Linked DNA regions of Macaca mulatta. The protein of the gene in region 2 purifies or fractionates together with the protein of the main gene of each other region. This does not show direct contact. Links are inferred from orthologs where the notes say so. Each region holds a gene or a part of one and is shown on either strand. Other genes may lie near its edges.

Region 1 (7,305 bases), on a different chromosome or scaffold from region 2:
TCAGAACAAAAGGGATGCAGAGACTTTTAAGTAGTCGGGGAACAGTCATACAAAAAGACCAAGAATAAGAGAAGGCTACTGGGTTTGGGGAAGGATCATCGCTGCCTTTTCAGAGAGCAGTATGTGTAGGATAGAGTTGGAAATAACTGGGTTAAGAAGTACAAGATGCAGGATACGTAGATTATTTTTCTAAACTCACTCTCACTCATGTACACACACACTGTCTTTTCCACTCCATGCTCCCTCTCTCTCTCTTTAAATGAGGAAAAAACCTGAATGCTACAGTTGGCAGAAAAGGAATGAATGGAGAAAGAGATTAAAGGTGCGAAGGAGACAGATGATTATGAACAAAACAAAACCAAAAGGAAGTAGGAGTTACCCTTGGGGAAGGGGATGTGAATCTTACACAGAGCTGCATTCAAAGGAAAAGTAGGGTAAATGGAGACTGTGAGTTAGAGAGTAGAGACACTGACCGTGGATGGCAGCTCTCTTCTAAAGAAAGTGGCTAAGCTCACAGGCTGTAGGTAAGGGAACAGAATTAAATGTTGACTTACAACCTGAATAGTGTAAAAAGAGTGGGAAAAAAAAGCAGGATACTTAAGTTACCAAAAAATTTAGGTTACTTTTAGCATTTGATGTTCTCCAATATTGTTGATCTTTTATGAAATTTTAAAGAATGTTAAAACTGTTGTTTTATAGTTATATAGTGTGTTACATTGATCTTTCATATTTTATTTTTGACATAACACTTGAAAGAAATAAGGTAGGTACTAGCATTTCTGCTTTACAGATGAGGAAACTGAAACAAAGATATTCTCTCCCAACAAGTAGAACACTATGCTTATCTCATAGAACTACCATAAAAATTAACTGTTCTGAAAGCCATGTATTCAAGGTAACTCCTAGGTCACATTTTCATGCTCAGTGCCCTCAAAACACATTGTCTGAATGAAAAAAAAGAAAAGAAAGCGTAAAAGTGTAGATTTAGTTAGGCTGCAGATATAAGGCATATGAATTTTCAGCACTAACATATTGTCATGCTAAATTAAAGTAAAGTACCCACCATCTGCCTTCATTACTCATAATTTAGAGCAGAAGCCACAACACTTGGTGCAAGGAGGACTTTTCTACAATTATAGTCGCCTATTATTAGAAAATAGATATACTCTGCAATTGCATGGTATATGCCAAATTATTCAGAAAGAAATAGAAATAAATAAGTAGTATGGTAGCTCCAAGGTGGAGAATACTTATTCCAATTGCTAAACTAAAGCAAAAAATTCCACAGTCCTGTCTACCTATTATAGATGGGAAAAGGCATTCTAATATAAATAAGCCACCTAAGGGAAACACATGAACACAAAACTATCAACAATGTGAGCGAAACCCAAATTTCTCAAAAGCCTTGGTTCACTGCAATAGTTTGAGTTGTTTTATACTGACGTTTTACAGGAAAATATTTTTAACTATCAAGAGATTTAATCTGATCACTGAAAGTCCTTGACAAAGAAGAAACAAACAGAATCACTGACCTGGAGTGCCCCCGTGGCTTTTATCTTCTTTTGTTTTTTTCAGGGGGAGGAAGGGGTACAACACAACATGATGTTCAACCACTGTGGCTTTTTAATGGCATCCTAAAGCTCTGCTTCTAATAGTACAGAGGAACTGAAGTCTATAATTTTTCAACTGTTATAAAACTTCCTAAGAATAACTTCCACCACTCGACACTCACTGATTTCTTGTTCAGTCATTTTAAAAAAATACTTCTTACTCTGGGTTGTACTTACTGTCGATTTGTAACTCTCTTTATTTTCAATAACATTTTAAACTTTCTGGTAATTTGATGTAAGTACGAAATGAGAGTACATCAAACTCACTATGTGATAAGTTTTTATATCAGGCCAGATTAATAAACCATAAAATCTCTTAAGATTTTATGTGAATTTTTTAAAAATAAAAATCTTAGGTTATTTTATATACAGACACGTTTTAAATATAAATTCAAGTTTAAGATAGGTTTTAATAAATGCAAGAAAATGTGAAATAAGGCTAGCCAATTTTAAAAACATTCTTTAACAATAAATCTTTGGATGGGGGAGGGCAATTGTCTACTTCAATAAATTAATTTTCATCCTTGCCTACTCAGATAACATACTGAAGAAATTCAAGTTAATAGAACAAATAAACAAAAACAATATTGGATTAAGAAGAAACTGAACTGAATCAAAGGCAGAGTTTGGCCATATTTTCAACAAACAGAATAACACAGTTATATATAAAACTACTATACTTGAAGTCTAGCATGAACACGGCCCATTTATAGGAAAGGGGTGATTATTAAAGACCAAAAAGATAATTATAATTAGGTCTGAATTCTGTATTATTATTTTATTCATTTAACTAGACCTGAAATCAGATAGAATACATTTTACATTAATAACTACATTTTTGCAATTTATACTTTATTTTTTTCCTGCTAAGCAGGCAAAATTCAGTGTTACAAACGTTATTACCAAAAAGCATTATTATTTTATTATATAAGTGGCTCTTGCATTTGTTTTTAAATGTCTATGCAAATTCTTACTAAAGAATGTATACTCTTTAATTAAAGCTTTAAAACATACTCTATTATGCAAAATGCCCAATATTTTAAAAAACTGAATAGTCTAAATTTCTGATGATGTATGTATGCTTAGAATTCTTTGCTCAATACTATTTTTTGTGACTTCCTTTCACAGTCCCTTCAGCAAAAACACCCCTTGTCACAACCTAGCCAAGAACAAAAAAAGCCATATGCATAAGAGTTCCCTGATTTCGGTGGCAAGGGATGAGATTTTTTGAAAGTTTCTAGCTTTTCTTCAGAGTTAGGTTATAAGGGAAAGGCTTATCTAGAAAAAATAAAAAATCACAGGCATAGATAAGGATGGTGTTGTTTATTTTAGTTGCTGTATATTTACCTTCAATTACAACAAATGCATAATCTCTTACCTGAGTGACTTTTCTGGATTCAGATTCACTTTCAGATTCTGACTCTGATTCAGAATCTGAAGAACTGTCTTCTATTGAACTAGATTCGGCATTTGAAGAATCTGAAGTTTTAGATTTTTCATTTTCCTTCTCCCCATCTTCAGAATCACTATATATAATAGTAAATTTTGAAATATCAACTTTAACTCCTTTATATAAGTCGTTTATATAAAAAATGGTTTTTAAATTCCAGAATACATTAATGAGGTAATAATGAAGGTATTACCCATAACCAAATAAATTAGAACCCACTCAAATTCAATTCTATCCTGTCATACACACTTCATATGCAAAAAGTCATAAAATGACACTAAACAATATAATCAAAAACAATGTAGAAAATATTAAATGTCTGATTTACCAAGAATTAAGTACTACCAGTAACAACTTCAAAGATATTTAGGCTGATTTTTAAAATGCTATCTCAAAATACTGTGTGTGTATACACATATATATATTGGAGACAGGGTCTCATTGTCATCTAGGCTGGAGTACAGTGGTGCAATCATGGCTCACTGCAGCCTCGATCTCCCAGGCTCAAGCGATTCTCCCACTTCAGCCTCACAAGTAGTTGGGACTACAGGCGGGCACTACCACATCCAGCTAATTTTATATTTTTTGTAGAGACAGGGTCTCACGATATTGCCTAGGCTGGTCTGGAACTCCTGGGCTCAAGTAATCCTCCCAACTCGGCCTACCAAAATGTTGGGATTACACGCTTGAGCCACCACACCCGGTTTAGTAATATATTTAAATATTTATATATCTACTTTTGCTAAAATAGACTTGTATTTTATACACTTTTCTACCCAAGAAAATTACTTACTACAAGTTCTCAAATGTGACCTTAAACACATTCTATGAGAAATGTGTTTCTGGTTAACAAAGGAACTTCTAAAGTACTATCTTGCTACAAATTTAAGCTAATCAAATATAAACTTTTAAATTACCAAATGATCATACCTAAGTGCTTAACACCATTCATTTGTTCATTTGTTCATCTGCTCAACAAATATTAATTAATTTTTGACTACATGTTGGCATTATGTTAGGTGCTAAGGATAACAATGGTTAAGAGGATCTATGTGTGTCTACCCTACAGAGTCTACAGTCCACTGGAGGATATAGATAAGGTGGCAGTGATAATACAGTATAGTAAGTAATAAATTATAGTGTGTCAGGAGAACATTTGGAGAGACACCTAAACAAACTTAATCCAATTAGGAATGCTTCCTGGAGAAAGAGACATATAAGCCAAGATATAGGAGTAAGGCTGGCAGATGGGCAGGGAAGCAGTTCTCCAAGGAGAAGGAATAACATGTGAGATGACCAAACACCCTTATCTCAGGGGATGAGAGATGCCTTGTGGTGTTTTATATTTTCCTGGAAACTAAAAGTCTAGTTCTCTCTACAACATGTGTGTGTATATTTTTAAGAATCTACTGTGGGCCAGAAAGGGCTAGGCATTTCATACCAATCATACTGATTACCTAATTTAAATGCACTCTTCCTGGGTACATTATTATCCCATTTACAATAATGAAATTAATATTCAGAAAGGTTAAATAACTTGCTCAGGGACACATAACAAGAGGGGCAGAACTAGAATCTGAACTCAAGCCTGTCTCACTCCAAAGTCCGTATTTTTTCCACTATGTCATACTATCTCCCTTCAAATGAAAACACTTTGGAGTGTAAAATTTAAATTCGGTCATAAATATTTATGATTACTAAAGGGTGGTTTTTGAAGATGCTTAAAGCTTATTAAGAGCTTTAAAAAATTATCATACTAGCAAAGTTAAAAAAACATTCTAAGAGGCAGAAAAATACTGGGGGAGGGAGAGGAGTGAGGCAAGGAAAGAATCGATATTTCCTAGAATTGATTTTTGTAGAGGAAATATGATTGCTGTTTATTAAAAATGGAGCCATGGCAACATCTCAGAGCACATGTAATTATATTTGAAGACTGAAAAATATGTTGTTGTTTTTCCCTGGCAAAAAAACGGCAATTTATTATCCCCAATTCACTGGTTAAAATGTGTACTTAAAAATATAAGGTTTAGAATGTATTTGTGGTTCTCTTTGTAATAAACAATTCTTTTAAATTCAAATGTGGGTAAAGAGAAAAATCTATTTCTGAAGAAAGGAATAATAAAACTAATACATGACTACAAATTTCTAGTATACTGACTTCTGCCATCTGAAAGGACATTTCATGCACTGAACAAAACTTTCCCTTTCTAGAAACAAGACATGTTTTATAACTCATATCATCATAGATATTCTGATATTAAACCAGAAGTACAGGATTTCTCTCAAAGACAAGGCTATTATAAACCAAGTAGCTCCTTTGCTGCAACAAGTGAATGATTCTAAATATATTTAACTTCTAGCTTTTAAGATAAGATTTTAAAAGTAAAAGTGTTATTTTATTATGCATCACTCAATTTTGATGGTAATTATTGTTTACCTTACTGCTTAGAGTTTCAGATGTTAATCTAATGAAAAGAATTTACTGGTAACTAGGTTTCTAACTTTGCAATGATGAAAAGCCTGTATTAATTTAACCTACAGATTTCATTTGTTCTGAACAGGAAAAACAATATAAATCACTTTTAAAATCATTAAATCCTGACTTAAATTAATAAAGTCATAATTAGGGCATTATGCTGTGTTTGTTATGGAAGTGGCAGGGCGAGCTGCTTTAATTACTGTCTGTAATAAAAGGAGCAGAGAGCGTACTGCGCCCCAATCAGTGCTGTCAGCCACGACTGAGCCGAGCTGCAAGCTCATCAAGTGAGCGGGCAGCAGGCTCCTGGGGAAAGGACCATCATGTCGGCAGAGGCCACTCACTGACAGCAGTGGGGAAAACAGAGTTGCACAATCCAAGATATTAGCCCCAATTACTCAAAATTTTAATGACACTTTAATACATGATAATGTTGTTGATAATGGGAGATCTTAAAAAGTGCTAACACTTAAAGCTCTTATGACCGTCTTCCTTCACAGCCCTTGACTCTAATATTTGGATCATAATCTTTTTAATATAACATTATTTAGAAAAATCAATTGTCTTGGTTACATAATGGCAAAGTGTTGAAGGATTTAATTTTAGCCCTCAGCAAAATTGCTACAAAAGGTAATTAAGTGTTTCATACCTATTGCTTGATCACTTAACTCAGCCTTCCAAGGTTATACCAATTTTCAAAATGTAACCCCAAGATATGTTCAAGTTCAAAATGAAAGCTAAGCATTACAAGTAGGAAAATAATGTGAACTAGCACTTTAATTTTAAAAAGATTTAATATCTGTTTGGGAAAAAATACACACTTCTTTTCTCTCATCATTTTTTGATTAACAAGAAACATCTGCCTGGGGCAAACTTTCACAGAATATTTTTTGAAGGAAATTCTGACAAAATACATTACCTTTTTCCTTTGGCTTTTGAGTTCCTCTTGGCTGTTCTTTTGTTTTCTAGGCCTGACTCCCTTCCACTCTCACTGTCCTGCTCACTGGAGGAGTCCTCACTGCTGTCCTCATTGCTGTCTCCTTCCTCCCCACTTTCGCCTTGCTCTCCACTTTCACTTCCAGATTCACTCTCTGAAAAACAGAACCAGATGTTCTTAGATTTATAGTCATTTAATTAGACACACGGACACCTGTAACTGTCAATATTCATCTCAAATGAAACCAGATGTTGAATTTTAGTTCAGTGGACACCACGTGTTTAACATTTCATTCCCATACCCCATTCTTTCAGCTCTATGGATTCCTTTAGCACGGTGAGTTTGGAGGGAGGCAGACAGAGAGAGGATGCTCTGACAATGAGTAGAGAAAAGCTAAGCAAAGATGAACCAAGTAAACCAAATTTGAGGGAATCTCACTTTTCAAACCCCAAAGTATATAGCTTTGTCAAAAACTTTCTTTTAAAGAATTACATAAAGATTGATGTAAGGCTAAAGAAATAATTTTAAATTCTTCTGCTTGTAATGGGAAATTCTATTTAGAGTAAAAGAAGGCAACAGTTTAATCTTCTTAGGAACAAATTTTGAGAGGAAAATGAGCCATTCAAATCACCTGGAAAAACTTCCAAATTCAAAGACAATAGGCAAATGACTAATTAAAGAGTTATTACTTATTCGAGCTAGTAAAGGAGTTTTCCATAGGTCAAAGAGATGATCAAGTTACATTGAGGAATTATACTTTTAAATGTTTTATGTATAAATTATGGTATGCTAGGACTCTCTGCAGAAGAGAACACATGAAAAATATATGTGT
Region 2 (8,089 bases):
CTCACAGCTGAGAGCAGAGGCATAGCCAGTTACCATTGCCGGCCACACATTTTCACACAACATCTGCGGGAGGGGGCCTGCAACAGTCCTCTCAGTCTAAGGGCCATGTACTGGGCAGGAGGGTGGTACCTTAGACTGCAGTCTCCCAAGAGGGCTGGGAGGGACCTGTGCCCCAGCTCTGTTGCTTTGCTTACACCATTCCCTCTGGCAAGAGTGCCCTTCCCCCAAAAGCCTCCCGTCAGATTCCTATTTGTCACGGCAGAGTTATTTATAACATTAAAAAAAATTCAGCAACTACCTAAATGTCCAACAACAGGTGACTCGCCAGCTCAACTGTGTCCACTCAATGGTAGGAAGTGTGGGCACTGGCAAGAGCTCTGCCCACCTTGGCTTTCCTGTGGAGCAGCTGCTACATGAGCAAGGTGCTGAGAGCAGAACTGAATCTCTTCTTTCATTGTTATTGCTGACATTGTAAGGTAGTTTGTGCAACACATTGTCCAAAACAATCCTGATGCTCCAAGGCCAGACTCAAATGGTCCTTTTCTGAGATACCTTCCACAACCTCCATGCCCCACCCCCCACCCCACTCCAACAGCTCCCGGCTCTACCAGTGTGGTGTGGGCGGGAGGTTTTGTGCATGCCTGTCCCTGATCCTGGCCCCAGCTTTCAGCTCTGCATATGCACTCATGCCCACTGGGGCCCAGGGCTGGTCATGGGGGTCTATCTCTACCACAGAAAGCTGGGCCTCCACCCCATAATGTCAGCCTGGAGCCATGTCCTGCAGCCTCAAGGCTGAGATGGGAACAGATCTGTCTCCCCTGCCCCCTACTATGGCTGCCTAAATTTCAGCCAGTCACTCCTCCTCCTCCTCCTCACCAGTCTAACTATACTGGCTTGGGGCCCCGGACTTGGCCCCAGGGCAAGGAGAGGAGAAAGAGGGGCCTGGCTTTCAATTAGCACCCTGGTTCCCTCTGCCCACCCCCACTCCACCATCTGCTATCCACTGTTGCTCCCTGGGAGGCTTCCGGTGTGTGCACCAAGCCCTGGGCACCTGCTTGCAACAAAGGAGAACTGGGAGGAACAGTCTAGGGACAGCTCTCAGAAAGGGAGGAGGCCAGGTGGAAGGGGTGTGCATTTCTCACCCCCATGGCCCAGACCCAACACCCAACAATGGAGAGCTCTCCTCTCAGCAACACAGGACCTGAGCTTTTCCTCAGGTACACTTAGGCCATGGAAGGGCACGGGAGCCCCACAACAGTCATTTCCCTAGAGACATGGCTCCCTCCACTCTCTGCAGAGGAACTGAACAGTATGCACTGCGGGCTGCCCAAAGGGAGCTTGTGGGGAGTGCAGGCCCTGGTGCTGCCACTGCCCTCCAGCTGGCTCTCAGGGAGCCTGACAGCCAAGCACTCCCCAGTTACAGCCTGCTCCCAGGGCCCGACCACTGGGCTCAGGGAGTTGAGCCTCCAGCAATCCTGAGGGGTCCTCTGTTGCTGCCCTGGTGACAAATGGTCCCCCAAGGACTCTACTGCATCTTTAGGTAAGTCTGACCCAGGGAAAGCCCAAACAAAACAAAGGCCAAGAGGTCCAGAGGCCCCACATTGGGGTCCTGTCCCCTCCTCCACTGAGATCATCCTGGTTCAGGCCCTACCTGTCATAGACATAAACAGACTTTCCTGCTACCTTGGTCCCCTGCCATGTGGGACTCCAGAGTTTGCAGTAAATCTAGGGAGGCCAGGAGAGGCCCAAGAGGCCTCCAGCTGCCTCCCAACAACTGTAGGCAGCACCTCCCAATTTAGTGGTAGCTGTGAACACCAGCCTGCAGGCACCCCCTACTCTCTGCTGCTCTACTCTCTCAAGGACTGGGGCTGGATTTCCTGCTGCAATGAACATGCTGAAGCCCAAGCCCTGCCTAACTCACAGCTGAGGTGTCACCCACAGGAACAGGGGAGCTGAAGACCTCACTCAAGGTCTATTAGGAACAAGGGCCAAGCTTCTAGACCACCATCCAATTGCTTCAGGGGACTGGTCAAGGGGCTGCCCTGACTGAGCCTCAGGCTCCAGCTAAATCATGGTAGAAGTTCCTACAGCTGAATTTTGCCCATCTAATGAAGGAGTATTGTGGGGAGGTCTCTCCAATCTTGGGGGTGGGCATGCAGTCCAGTGCTACGTCCTGAAAGTTTGGCTCTCAACATGCAGGCAGAGGCAAAGGTCAGCTGTCTCCTCCCAAGCACTTGGGGTCCAAATCTCTGAACCCCTGAAGGAGAATCCACTGGAGGCTCTGCTTCCCTGTGGGTGGAGGAGGGGAAATGCAGAGGAAGGCACTAGAGTAAAGGGTTGCTATGGTGATGGAAGTTTTAAAACAAGGGGAGGGGGAGGGGAGATGTGTTGGTTAGGTCCCTTCTTCAAGAATTCCCTGAGACTTTAGCCTGGCTCCTTCTTCAAGGTTCTGTGACCCAGGTCCCCATCAATAAAGAGGAGGTGGGGAGATTGAGAGAATTTAGAAAAAAGAGAATGGGGCAGAGACACAGACAAAGACAGAACCTGTGATGGAAGAGGAGCAAGGAGATGACAAAGTAAAAGGGACACAGGCACAAAGGGCAGGAAAGGGGAGGTGGACAGGAGTTCTGAAGGGGACGGATGGGTGCCCAGCAGAGCCCTAAGGCCTCCATGGCTATGTGCTCTAAATCGCTGGGCCAGGAGCTATCCATGGTACCTGGACCTTCCAGCTTGCACCCTCCTGTATCCCCCAAACATACACTGAACTTGGCATAGGAGGCACAGCCAAAAGGAGGCCAGCTCCTTGGAGCATCTTGGTGAGGAAGAGGCCAGCTGCTACAGCCCCCCAGTCAGGACAGTTCCCAGCCCATCTCTCTGCCATCACGGCAGCTTAGGTAAAGCAGGTCCAACATGTTGAAGGCAGACGCATAGGGGGATGGAAATGAGGCTTGGATGCCTAGTTGCTTCCCTTTATAGTCCCTCTTCTCAGTTGGCCCAGCTGTACCTAGACCCTCCCAGCCAACCCCTCCCCCATCTGCTATCCTCTCCAGGCTTTGGGTCCCCAGAGCCCCTCTTACAGCTCTGCTTAATCCCCTCTCACCACCCCCAACAGCAGATCCTGCCATGAATGCCAGAAATGGCATCACAAGCAACCCAGAAACAGAATAACTGCACAGCCCTTCCCCTCCCCATGCCTCAGTTTCCCCAAATAGAAACCATGGAATCTGGCCTTCTCCCAGGGCAGAGGACTGCTTGCTTGCCACTGCTTGCTTGCTTGCCTGTGAATGGTGGCCAGGGCATGGGGCTGGAGAGTAAGGCCATCAGAGATATGTGAACAGCCAGCCTAGGAGGGACACCTGAAGGGTCCGCACCAAATACTGTATTAGAAAAGGGAGACCCTTGCCCCACCCTGGAAACCAACCTGACCTTGAGGGGAGTGGAGACACCAATTTCCCAGTTGAGGAAACTGAGGCTCAGAAGTCGCTGGAGCTGCCAGGAATCAACTCTGAGGGTGGGGGAGGGCACCAGGTCTCTGAAGGTAGTCCTGGGGGCTCAAAGCCTGGACTTGGGGGTAAGGGGAGTACAGCACAGGAACTGGACTACTGCAGACTCTGAGCTTTTAGTGTGGGACAGAGGGCCCTGATCCTTAGGAAGGAACCTGGTGGAGCAGGCTCTGCCTGGGAGGTGAGGACAAAAGCAATTTGGCAGAGCTACACGGGGAGGGGGCTGGGGCTCAAGAGCCCAGGGTCTCTGCCAGACAGTACAAGCTGGGGAAGGCAGAAGCTCACGCTGTCACTATCCCAGCCACCTCCTGCCAGGGGCCCTGCTCCCCACCGTGGTGCCACCCTGACCCCCTTCCCAAGTGCTGCTGGCTCGCCCCCGCTGGCACAGCAACACACATGCGGAAAGCACACGTGTGAGCACCAAGCCCCGCACCTCCCAGCAGGAACATGTGCGCCCCCACCCCCACCGTGCACGTGGGTCCATGCACTGGACCCCCGGCTAGCCCCCAGGTGAAGGCTTAGAAGCGGAATTTTGGCTGGGGGGCTGCTGGTCCCCAGGGGCTTGGAGCTTCCTCCCCCACTCCGCGGCAGCCCCGCCCAGCCCCCTCCGGGTTGTCGCCCATAAAGAACTCTCCGTTGTCATGGAAATTAGTGACTGCTAAGCTGGAGGGAAGGGGCCCGGGGACAGTTGGGAGGGGCTGGAGGCGGCTCTGGGAACGGGGAGGGACGGCTCAGCTCTCGGCCCCTATCCTCACGGGGGACCACGAATCTTCGAGGGTTAATCTTTTCATAATTCCGAGCCGCAGAGGCTTCCCCCCAGGATCCCCAAGCCGTCCGAGGTAATGGGGAACTTTAGCCCGACCCCGCACTCCGTCCCCCAAATCTGCAAAGCCCGCGCGCTCTGACCCCGCCAGGACCTCGAGCCCTCACTGCGCCCCCGCGCACTCTGCATCCCGAACCTCGAGCCAGGGAACCAATCCCCCAAGGCCCCACAACGTGAGTTCGGGAAGCGCCCCCAGCCCGGCCAGCCCCGCACCTGCAGCGCCGGTTGGTCACACGGAGGAAGTGATCGCGGGCTCAGCGGGGCGCCGAGGGCTCCGGGGACGGCGGGTAGAATCCGCTCCGAGCACGCGGGGCAGACGCGGCGCCAGATGCAGCCGCTTCGGCTAGCGAACCTCTAGCATCGCCAGCCGCTTGCCGGCACCGGATTCGCACCCCGGGCCGGGGGCGGGCTGGGGGCGGGGCCTCCCAACCGGCCCCGCCCCGACCCTGGCGGAGCCTTAAGGGCAGAATCCCACTGGAGAGCAGGCTCGCGCGGGATGGCAGCGGTGCTGGTGAGCACTGGCCTGCTTAGCCCTGGCTAAGGTTCTCAACGGCTTCCTTAGGCCCTCAGCCTGGGGTCGGAGGGGGCCTCCTATGCCCAATGTAAGGGGTGGGGAGTGGAGAGTTGGGGGAAAGCCTGAGTCCTTGAGCTGCATAGGATCGCTTGCCAGCCATTAGTCTCTAGGGAACCGGGGCTTTGCCCAGCTCCCCGAACCCGACCCAAAAGGCAGGACCAACTTAGAAAAACCAGATGGGCAGTCGGGCTAGGGCAGGCTCCCCTACAGACTGGCATCCCCTAGCTAGGAGCAGTTAATACACAGAGGTGTCTGTTTGCAGGTAGTCAGTGTGAAAACAGTGAGTGCCCTAGACTCTGGAAGCAAAGTCTCCTATCCCACCCCACCCCCAACTCCTGCAAGGCCAGTCTTTCCCAACCATAAGCCCCAGCAAGGGTGACTGGCACAGTCAGCCCCCTCCTGTATGGCACCAAATTTCCCAAACTATAAAAGTCACCTGTGACATGGTGTGGCCTCTGCTTTCTTTTCAGTCTAATCACTCTCAAACACTTCATGACTAGCATCACTCTAGGTGGCCTGGCCTGGGATATAGGGACACAGGAGAACTGTGGCACCAAGGTATCTCACCCGGCCTGGGCGCTAATCAGAGGGAGGAGGCTCAGAACCACCAGGAGGAAGCTTTGAAGGAAGTCCTTGGCCATTTCTCTGTCCCTTGTCAGTGAGGCTCATGGACCCAAAGCCTGACCCACACCCCTCACAAGCCCTGAGGACCATCCTAAGGCCAGTATCTGAAAGCCAGACTCAGGCCTCTCAGTGTCTGGAGCTGGGCTTTATCCCACCCCACTCCTCCCAGCAAGCCTCCTGACCCTGCTGTGGGAGAGGGAGTTGGGGTCATCCCCAAACCCTCAGCCATCTTGAGGCTCCCCTGCATGGCCACCCATGGCCGATGACAGGAGGGACTGTCCAAGTCCAGAAGCTGGGGCTGGGGCTCAGACTGGAAGGCTAGCTTAGGAAATGACCGCCTCAAACAAGGTTCCTCAAAATTTTCCTCCAGAGTGGGTACTGAGCCCTTCACATTCCTCCCTGGCTTGGGGTTACCTCCTCTGGGCCAGGCTGGTGCCACTTCTGGGGTCCCTGGGTTCTGAGTGGTCTCGGGTTATGGGATCCACCCCACCACTGGGTAGGAATCTCCTGGCAGGCTGGGTATCTGCAAGGCAGAACCCGTTTCTCATATCAGTATGCTCGGCTGATGTCTGCAGAGTGAATGAATGGCCTGGCACTGAGTCCTTCCTGCCATCTGCCCACTATTCTTGAAACAATGGGTCTCTGAGTTTTATGGTGTAGCCAAGCTGTGGCTTGCTGACCCCACACATGCCACACACTTGTTTTCTGTCTTTCCTGAGGGTCATGGCTATCCAGGCATGGGGTCAAGGAGAAGCTGGAATGGGGATGTTTAGGCAGGGGAAGGGGTGGCTTCTTAGCGCCCTGCCTGCTGCTGGCAGTACTCCACCTCTTCTTGGTCCTAAGCACGCTCTGTGCATGTGGGTGAGAGCACGTGGCAGGGTGTGTGTGCACACGTGTACGTGTGTGTATGCTGTCTTTTGCCGAGGGAGATGCAACAGCATAGTGTATGCAATGGTGCCCAGGGGCACGTGTGTCTGCATTCTTTGTGCACCCAGGCATGCTTGCTGGCACGTGTGTGTGGACTCTGTAGCTGGTCCCTGGAGTTGTCAGTCCCCTTCCTGCCTGACACAAGTCTCAGGATTGTGGAGACTGAATCAGGCTTTGAGAGCCGGACATGGGAAGGGGGCTGGACCATGTCCAGGGGCGGGCAGGGTCTGTGCTGACCCTACATCATTGGTTGTTTTCAGGCTCCCCACCAGAGCAGCCCCTTGATCTCTGGTGTATGTGAAGATAGACAAGTCTTTGCCATTTGTGGAGGGCAATCTGAAGACAAGAACCCAAGGCTAGGATTGAGCCATGGCTTATCCCTCAGCCCGCAGACAGGAAGGCACAGGCAGGGTAGGACCGGCTTCAATGTTTTGGCTTCACCTCCAGCTGCCTTTCAGGCAGGAGATAGTAACACCAGCTGAATGCCATCCTCTTAGCTCTTCCAGGGCAGGGACTGGACCAATGCTGAGCTTTGTTCTTACTTCTACTATTCAAAGCCAGATGGGGTCAGGGGACATGATTTCTTACCACTCCACTGGCCAGAGGGATGGCAGGAAGTCCTTTAGCACAGAGCACAGTTTGGAAGAAGAGCAGAGGCAATTGAGATTGGCATTGCCTAGTAGCCTTTATGAGGATACTCCTAAGGAGGCCTGTTCCCTGAAGACAGGGGCTGCCTGGGTTGGGAGGCTGAGGAGGAGAAGAGGGCCCAAGTTCATAGTTCTGGCTCCCACCAAAGCTAGAAAGTCCGAGTGGCATAATAAGGTGTGAGCCTCAGTATCCACAGAACTTCATCCCCCAGCTCAGGTTGGGCGCCCTACCCAGGATTCAGGACTTATCTGCGCCCCCAACTCCTTGCCCTAGGGTACCAAAGGCCAGCACTCCCATGCCCTTAGATTCTGGCTGGCTGATAGAAGCCCCTGCTAACCCAGCATAGAGCTCCAGCAAAGGTTCAGACTGTAGGAGGTACCTAGATTACCAGTGCAGCTCTCCCAAGAAGCCTGAACTCTGACAGAACCCTCCCGCCCCAGGCTCCCAGCCATCTTTGAAACTGCCTGACTGTTGTCCATGTTGCTTGGCTTCAGCCCCTAGAAGAGGGCCCACAATAGGGAAGGCAAGCAGTCTTTTCCTCTGGAGCCAGGGGAGGGGGCTACCTCCCCGCCCCCCACCCTGTGACTCACTCCAGGCTGTGTGGGTTATTACATTATGTTTGAAATTGCCATGGCAACAAGCTGGCAATCAAGGGTAATTGCACTTGTCGTCAGGGCAACGGGGCAAAACCCACAGCAGCCACTCTCTGTGGTTGCCCTTGGGGTGTAGTAAAGGTCAGACCAGATCAGAGCCAATGCCAGTCAAGGGGCTCCAGGGCTGTCTAGAAAGGGTAGGTTGCCAGGGCCCATGGAGTTCCAGAGTGCAGAGGCAGAGCATGCCTTGGGAGAGCCAGGGCCCCTATCCATGACCCCATGCCTGGACTCCTGCTTTTCCCACACCACCCTGTGGCTGAAACATGCCACGGCACTTAAAGCAAGCAGAACCAGAACTTTTATCTGCTTACAGCTGGTACTTATAGATAGCCCATGG
Region 3 (7,305 bases), on a different chromosome or scaffold from region 2:
TGCTGGCAGATTTAAAAAAACAATTTGTAGAGACAGAGTCTTGTTATGTTGACCAGATTGGTCTTGAGCACCTGGCTTCAAGTGATCCTCTGGCCTCTGCCTCAAAAAGTACTGGGATTACAGATGTGAGCCATTGTGCATCTGGCCTGCAATTTTTGTAGTGTGTACACTATACAGTGTACACTATATCCTTTTTTTTTTTTTTTTTTTTTTTTGAGACGGAGTCTCACGCTGTTGCCCAGGCTGGAGTGCAGTGGCGCGATCTCGGCTCACTGCAAGCTCCGCCTCCCGGGTTCCCGCCATTCTCCTGCCTCAGCCTCCTGAGTAGCTGGGACTACAGGCGCCCGCCACCGCGCCCGGCTAATTTTTTGTATTTTTAGTAGAGACGGGGTTTCACTGTGGTCTCGATCTCCTGACCTTGTGATCCGCCCGCCTCGGCCTCCCAAAGTGCTGGGATTACAGGCTTGAGCCACCGCGCCCGGCCCACTATATCCTTAAATTCCAAATCAAGAACTAAACAGAATTAGATACCTATTTGTATGATGTCCTTGTTATCCAAACCCTAGCTAATAGCTATCCTCAACTCAGGGACAAGTATATTCAGACAATGTGTAATCTCTCTTTCTTTTCCTCTCTCCCAAGCCGGAGTTTTGCTCTTGTTGCCCAGGCTGGAGTGCAATGGTGTAATCTTGGCTCACTGTAACCTCCGCCTCCCGGGTTCAGGCGATTCTCCTACCTCAGCCTCCTTAGTAGCTGGGATTACAGGCGTGCGCCACCATGCCCAGCTAATTTTTGTATTTTTAGTAGAGACGGAGTTTCACCATGTAGGTCAGGCTGGTCTCAAGCTCCTGACCTCAGGTGATCCACCTACCCCAGCCTCCCAAAGTGCTGGGATTACAGGCGTGAGCCACTGTGCCCCACCAATGTGTAATCTCTTGCTATCTAAACTGTTGCTACTGGAAAATGAGAACTCAACAGATTTGGAGAGCAAGAAATACTTACACTGTGTTATGAAACCTACTCCAAAGCAAACAAATAAAAAACGACCCCCAGGGCCAAACTGAATAAAAAGGGGATACTGTTTTTTTGAGACAGGGTCTTGCTCTATCACCCAGGCTGGAATGCAGTGGTGCGATCACAGCTCACTGCAGCCTTGATCTCCCAGGCTCAAGAGATTCTTCCACCTCAGGCTTCTGAGTAGCTGGGACTACAGGCATGTGCCACCATACCCAGCTAATTTTTAAGTTTTTTTTTTTTTTTTTTTTTTTTTTTTTTTTTTAGAGACAGGGTCTTCCTATGTTGCCCTGGCTGGTCTTGAGCTCCTGGGTTCAAGAGATCCTCTTGCTCTGGCCTCCCAAAGTGCTGGGATTACAGGTGTGAGTCACTATGCCCAGCATGTGCTTTTTAATATAAATGTTAGAAAATGGGAATAATTGTAATAGCGTCATCATTTATTGATTTCTTGAGCATCTCTGATGTGCTAGGCATCCCTTCAAGCATTTCCAAGGTAATAACTCAATCATTCCTCATAACAACTCTAAGTTGTTCTTATCTCTATCTTACAGATAAGGAAACTGAGGCACAGAGTTTAAATATAATTTCATTACGTCACATAAACAGTAAGAAAAATATGGCCTCAAAAATACACATACTTAATCAGTATATTATACAAGTATATAGATATGCTTTTAGTTTGAAAGAAGGATCTATTAAACATTTTAAGGAACTGGAGGACATTATGTTAAGTAAAATAACCCAGAAACAGAAAATTAAACACTGCAGGTTGTCACACATATGTGGAAGCTAAAAAAAAAAAAAGTTGATCTCATAGAATTAAAAAGTAGAACAGAGATGGATATGGTAATTACCTTGATCTGATCACTATATGTGTTGAAACATTACATATACGTTGAAACATTACTAAGCAACCCATGAATATGTACAATTATTATTTGTCAATTAATAAAAACTGAAGGTTTATAATTTTTTTTTGAGATGGAGTTTCACTCACGTTGCCCAGGCTGGAGTGCAATGGCACGATCTTGGCTCGGCACAACCTCTGCCTCCCAGGTTCAAGCCATTCTCCTGCCTCAGCCTCCCTAGTAGCGGGGATTATAGGCATGTGCCACCATGCCTGGCTAATTTTGTATTTTTAGTAGAGACAGGGTTTCTCCACGTTGGTCAGGCTGGTCTTGAACTCCCAACCTCAGGTGATCCGCCCGCCTCAGCCTCTGAAAGTGCTGGGATTACAGGTGTGAGCCACCGCGCCTGGCCACTTTTTTGTTTTTTTTTTTTTTTTCTTTTTGAGACGGAGTCTCACTCTGTCGCCCAGGCTGGAGTGCAGTGGCTGAATCTCAGCTCACTGCAAGCTCCGCCTCCCAGGTTTACGCCATTCTCCTGCCTCAGCCTCCCGAGTAGCTGGGACTACAGGCGCCCGCCACCCCAGCCGGCTAGTTTTTTTTTGTATTTTTTAGTAGAGACGGGGTTTCATCGTGTTAGCCAGGATGGTCTCGATCTCCTGACCTCGTGATCCGCCCGTCTCGGCCTCCCAAAGTGCTGGGATTACAGGCTTGAGCCACCGCGCCCGGCCTGTTTTTGTTTTTTTTTTGAGATGGAGTCTCCCGCTGTCACCCAGGCTGGAGTCCAGTGGTGCAATCTCGGCTCACTGCAAGCTCTGCCTCTCGGGTTCACGCCATTCTCCTGCCTCAGCCTCCAGAGTAGCTGGGACTACAGGCGCCTGCCACCACGCCCGGCTGATTTTTTGTATTTTTAGTAGAGATGGGGTTTCACTGTGTTAGCCAGGATGGTCTCAATCTCCTGACCTTGTGATCTGCCTGCCTCAGTCTCCCAAAGTGCTGGGATTACAGGGGTAAGCCACTGCGCCTGGCCCAAGGTTTATAATTCTTAAATCTTAATTTAAATTTTAAATTATAATCTGAAATCTATAATTTAAAACTTTAAGGATTATAATTATCTGTAGAACCCTCTGATAAAAAATATCCTCACCATTCAGCTTGTTTTCTCTGCTCTGCCAACTCATGGAGCCGCCGAAGGGCTTTTTCCTGTTTTTTCTCATCCTTGCGGGATCTTGAAGAGACATTTCGAGCAAACTCTCTCTGCTTGAGATCTTTTAATCTCTGGGTTAAAAGAAAGAAAGATACAGAGGGTGGATGATTTACAGTAACTTGGGAATCAGAAAGCAAAGCCTTTAGGACATGACCCTCAACCAACAGTCATAGTATTAGTGTAGAACACATTATCATATTCTCTTATGGCAACTGAAAACACAATGGCTGATTACTTTGGGTATAGCACTTGCAGTATCTACACTTCTAATTAGGACAGCATATCATTTGCTTTATTAGGCAAAATAAAATGATCTCAAATGCAACAAGCAAATTTTAGAACACTGGGAGGAAAGAAAGGGACCTGCTCCTCCAGGATGCAAAACTAGACAAACAGAACATGAGATAAATTGTAATAACACAAGCCAAAGAGAACAGAAAGGGGTTAGGCTAGTACAGAAAGTTACCCAGGTGTAAGATCTTGAAAAGCAATGTACAGCTTACATGGGGGGTTATTTGAATTAGAACAAATAGAAAGCATACTTTTATTTCACCATAAAAAGGTGTCATTTTTTTTTAGCATGAATAGAGGTTTCCCGTAACTATTAAATAAACCCGAGAGGTCTTCCAGCGCTAGCACGTTTAGAGCTCACCAGTCTGACCACTTTTATCTGGTCAGCCTGCTGAAAGTAGTATGTGAGGCTTTGCATTCCTTCATGGCCCTGAGAGGAATATCCAGGGGATGAGGAGGGAGAGCAGAGATAAGTCAAAGACTTTATTACTTAGAATCCAGATAACAGAATGGGTCTTTTATTTTCAGAAACTACTGTATAATTTTCCTTAAAAGAAATACAACCAAAAAAGAACAGTGTTATGACACACTGGTGACAGAACCCAGACATATCTATCTGCAATAAAGACAGAAATAAAATTATTTTCAAGACATTAGATAATAACAAGACACAAACAAAACAAAATATATACATTAGCCTATGCTTTTACAACAGCATTGGGAAAAGGAATTTGACCCAGTATAAAGTGGACATTGCTTTGTGGAAAGGCATGATGTTCAACAGACAGAGGAATTTTCTTACCTAGTATTTATGAAATGTGTTTTGAATCTTTTTAAATTGGGAGGGGGGAAGGGTAAAAAGACACACACAAAAAAAGATATACAGCTAAAGACACTAGTAGAAAAACTCACTCTTGTGATCTGGGCTCCCAAATTAGAAGGATTTGCTTTCAATACATCAGCTGAAAATGTCACATCACAAAGAAAAAAAAGTAAAAAATAAAACAAGAGTGGAAGAGAAAAAAAAAATAAAGCAAGCATTACTACACAAGCTCTCTTAGTGAATCTGTAAACTATTATACTGAACAATCAGGGACAAAGCCATCAACTCTAAAAGGGCTGGGGAGAAGGGAAGCACCTGTACAACATATATATGTGTACATACACACAGACTGACATAGTAATCCCACCTAGAAAAATGGAACTACCTGTATTTCTTCCAGAAAAATGGTTCCAGAACTTTGGAAAAGACCATTGTGGTACAAAAAGCAGTCCTGTTTCCATGAGCCCTTATTTTGGGGGAAGTTCAAGTAATGAACAGCTGGCAAAACTATTACTGCCCATAATTAACAATTTTTTTTTGAGACGAAGTCTCTGTTGTCCAGGCTGGAGTGCAGTGGCGCGATCTTGGCTCACTGTAGCCTCCGCCTCCCAGGTTTAAGCAATTCTCATGCCTCAGCCTCCCAAGTAGCTGGGATTACAGGCATGCACCCCTATGCTTGGCTAATTTTTATATATTTAGTAGAGACGAGGTTTCACCATGTTGGCCAGGGTGGTCTTGAACTCCTGGTCCCAAGTGAACTACCTGCCTCGGCCTCCTAAAGTGCTGGGATTACAGGCATGAGCAACCACACCCAGCCCACAATTAAGATTTTTATAAAACCACTTCAAGATAAAGGATCAACTATTTTAAATAAATATGAATAAATATGAATTCTAATTTCATCCTCCTGAGGGGAATGGGGCAGAAAGAAAAGGCTTATCAGGTCTATTATATGATTACCTTTGGCCACAAACCTAGTTTTTTCTTCCCCAAACACGTAATAGGCTCTCTAACCAAGATTTATATAGAATATAATGTTCTTCTCATATCTGCCATTTTCTCTTTTTTTTTGAGACAGAGTTTTAATGTCGCCCAGGCTGGAGTGCAGTGGTGTGATCTTGGCTCACTGCAACCTCTGCCTCCTGGGTCCAAGCAATTCTCCTGCCTTAGCCTCCCGAATAGCTGGGACTACAGGTGCCTATCACCACGCTCGGCTGAGTAGAGATGGGGTTTCCCCTTGTTGACCAGGCTGGTCTTCAATTCCTGACCTCAGGTGATCCGCCCGCCTCGGCTTCCCAAAATGATGGGATTACAAGGCATAAGCCACTGCACCCAGCCTGCCATCTCTCTAGCCACCTGCTAAGACTGGAAAATTTCCCCATGCCATTTCCTCCCCTCTTACAAATATTTCATTACTTTTAGGAAGCATTTTTCAAACTACAAGACACTGTCCAAAAGAACAATCATTTAATCAAAGTATGGAGTCCCCAGGCTGAGTCAAGATTAGGCTTTCCATTCAACAGCCACTTTGTACAACCCTGAAGTTGAAGGAACAGGACCATGTCCACATCATGCTGAAGACATCCTATCTCAAGTTCCTACCACAGGAACATGGTTGGAGGCAGAGACGGAAGAAGATAGGATGATGCAATAAAACGAATCTAAACTGCAGGCTCCCTCTGGGCAAATCCTAAGAATACCCTACAAAGCTTAGGAAAGGCTCCCAATATCACATTTACAAATTTTACAGTCAAGTCTGCGGTCTCAAAAGCAGAATTGAGAACCCCAGAATTCTAACCCCAACCTTAAGAGACAGGACTCAGCAAACCCTATCAAACTGAGTATGTATACTTGTGGTTTCTTTCAGACGAGGACATTCTGTTCTGGCGACTTTTTTTTTTTTTTTTTAAGAGACAAGGTCTCACTTTGTTGCCCAGGCAGGAGTGCTGGGGCTATTCACATGTGTGATTCCACTACTGATCAGCATGGGAGTTTTGACCTGCTCTGTTTCCGACCTGAACCGGTTCACTTCTCCTTAGGAAGCTTCGTTGGTCCCCCGCTCCTGGGAGTTCATCACATGATGCCGAACTTAGTGCAGACACCCAATCAGCAGAGCGCACTACAGCTCAGAACTCTCGGGCTCAAGTGATGCCCCCAGCCTCAGCCTCCCAAGAAGCCAGGACTATAGGCATGCACCACTACGCCCAGCCAAGACATGGGTTATAAGGTTCATATTTTCCTTTACCTAGAATGCCTAACTCCAAGTGTCTCCTGTCTACTCAAGGTCAAACTAAATTCTTACAGTCTCCACTGATCCTTCAAAACAGGGGACTGTTCTTTCTGAACTGTCCCTAGTGGTGCTTTGTCATATCGTTCACCTAGCAGCTATTGTATTTTGTTCTCTGACCAGTTATTCCTGTCTTTTAAAAAGGCAGTATGTGTAAAGCTTCAGAGTCAGAAAGCTTGGGTTCAAATCCATTAATTAACTAGCCAATCCACTTATTACTAGATGATTTCACCTCTCTGAGTTCCAGCTCCCTCATTAAAAAACAGGGCTACCTATCTACAGATTTACAAGATTAAATGTCAAAATAAATGTAAAGCATTTAATAAGTCACAAGTGTTCAATACTGCCTTCCCTCTGTGTGGGGCAGGGACTACAGCTTATCTTTATAATCAACCCCGCAGTATACAAAACAGCACTAAGTCTACAGAGGGCATCTGGTAAATGTCCAGTGAATAATTCAGTTCAAACATTAGATCCTTCGTTTTTCCTCAAATAAATTTTTCTACCATTTGTAGGAAAGCTTGATATAAAGTATTCTCATATCTTTATTAGGGACATATTAAAGTTATATAATATGGTCCTCCTAGCTACCACTCCAGATACCCCTTATTTCTAGACAGAATTGGGCCAAATGGCAAAAGATGCTGGCCAGAAACTTCTCAGCTTCCTACCTAAAAAGTAATTTCTATAAAGGCACAAGGACCTAATCAGTCAGGTTTTCCAAAATTGCCTATTTTATTCCAAAAGGCTACCAATGTCTGGCTCATTTGTTATGGAATACCCATGTGAAATTCTGTGAAGTGTACCTATACTTTTCTCTTAAATTCTAAAGAGGAAC

The links. Proteins that work in one complex are often made in the same cells at the same time.
Region 1: the proteins of CAMKV (region 2) and AP3B1 purify together in Homo sapiens (affinity purification with mass spectrometry; 3 studies listed by BioGRID and IntAct, counting the BioPlex papers as one, with this or other methods). This does not show direct contact. The link is inferred for Macaca mulatta from reciprocal best matches to the Homo sapiens genes CAMKV and AP3B1.
Region 3: the proteins of CAMKV (region 2) and GPATCH8 purify together in Homo sapiens (affinity purification with mass spectrometry; 3 studies listed by BioGRID and IntAct, counting the BioPlex papers as one, with this or other methods). This does not show direct contact. The link is inferred for Macaca mulatta from reciprocal best matches to the Homo sapiens genes CAMKV and GPATCH8.

What each region holds. Positions count from the first base shown.
Region 1 is NC_133411.1:84,461,616-84,468,920, forward strand, and holds part of AP3B1 (AP-3 complex subunit beta-1), read right to left. Parts: intron 6,628-7,305; coding exon 6,456-6,627; intron 3,137-6,455; coding exon 2,989-3,136; intron 1-2,988. UniProt on the Homo sapiens protein: Subunit of non-clathrin- and clathrin-associated adaptor protein complex 3 (AP-3) that plays a role in protein sorting in the late-Golgi/trans-Golgi network (TGN) and/or endosomes.
Region 2 is NC_133407.1:113,342,128-113,350,216, forward strand, and holds the start of CAMKV (caM kinase-like vesicle-associated protein), read right to left. Parts: upstream 4,722-8,089; 5' UTR 4,540-4,721; intron 4,234-4,539; exon of another isoform or gene 4,160-4,233; intron 1-4,159. UniProt on the Homo sapiens protein: Does not appear to have detectable kinase activity.
Region 3 is NC_133421.1:68,781,053-68,788,357, forward strand, and holds part of GPATCH8 (G patch domain-containing protein 8), read right to left. Parts: intron 4,320-7,305; coding exon 4,270-4,319; intron 3,138-4,269; coding exon 3,007-3,137; intron 1-3,006.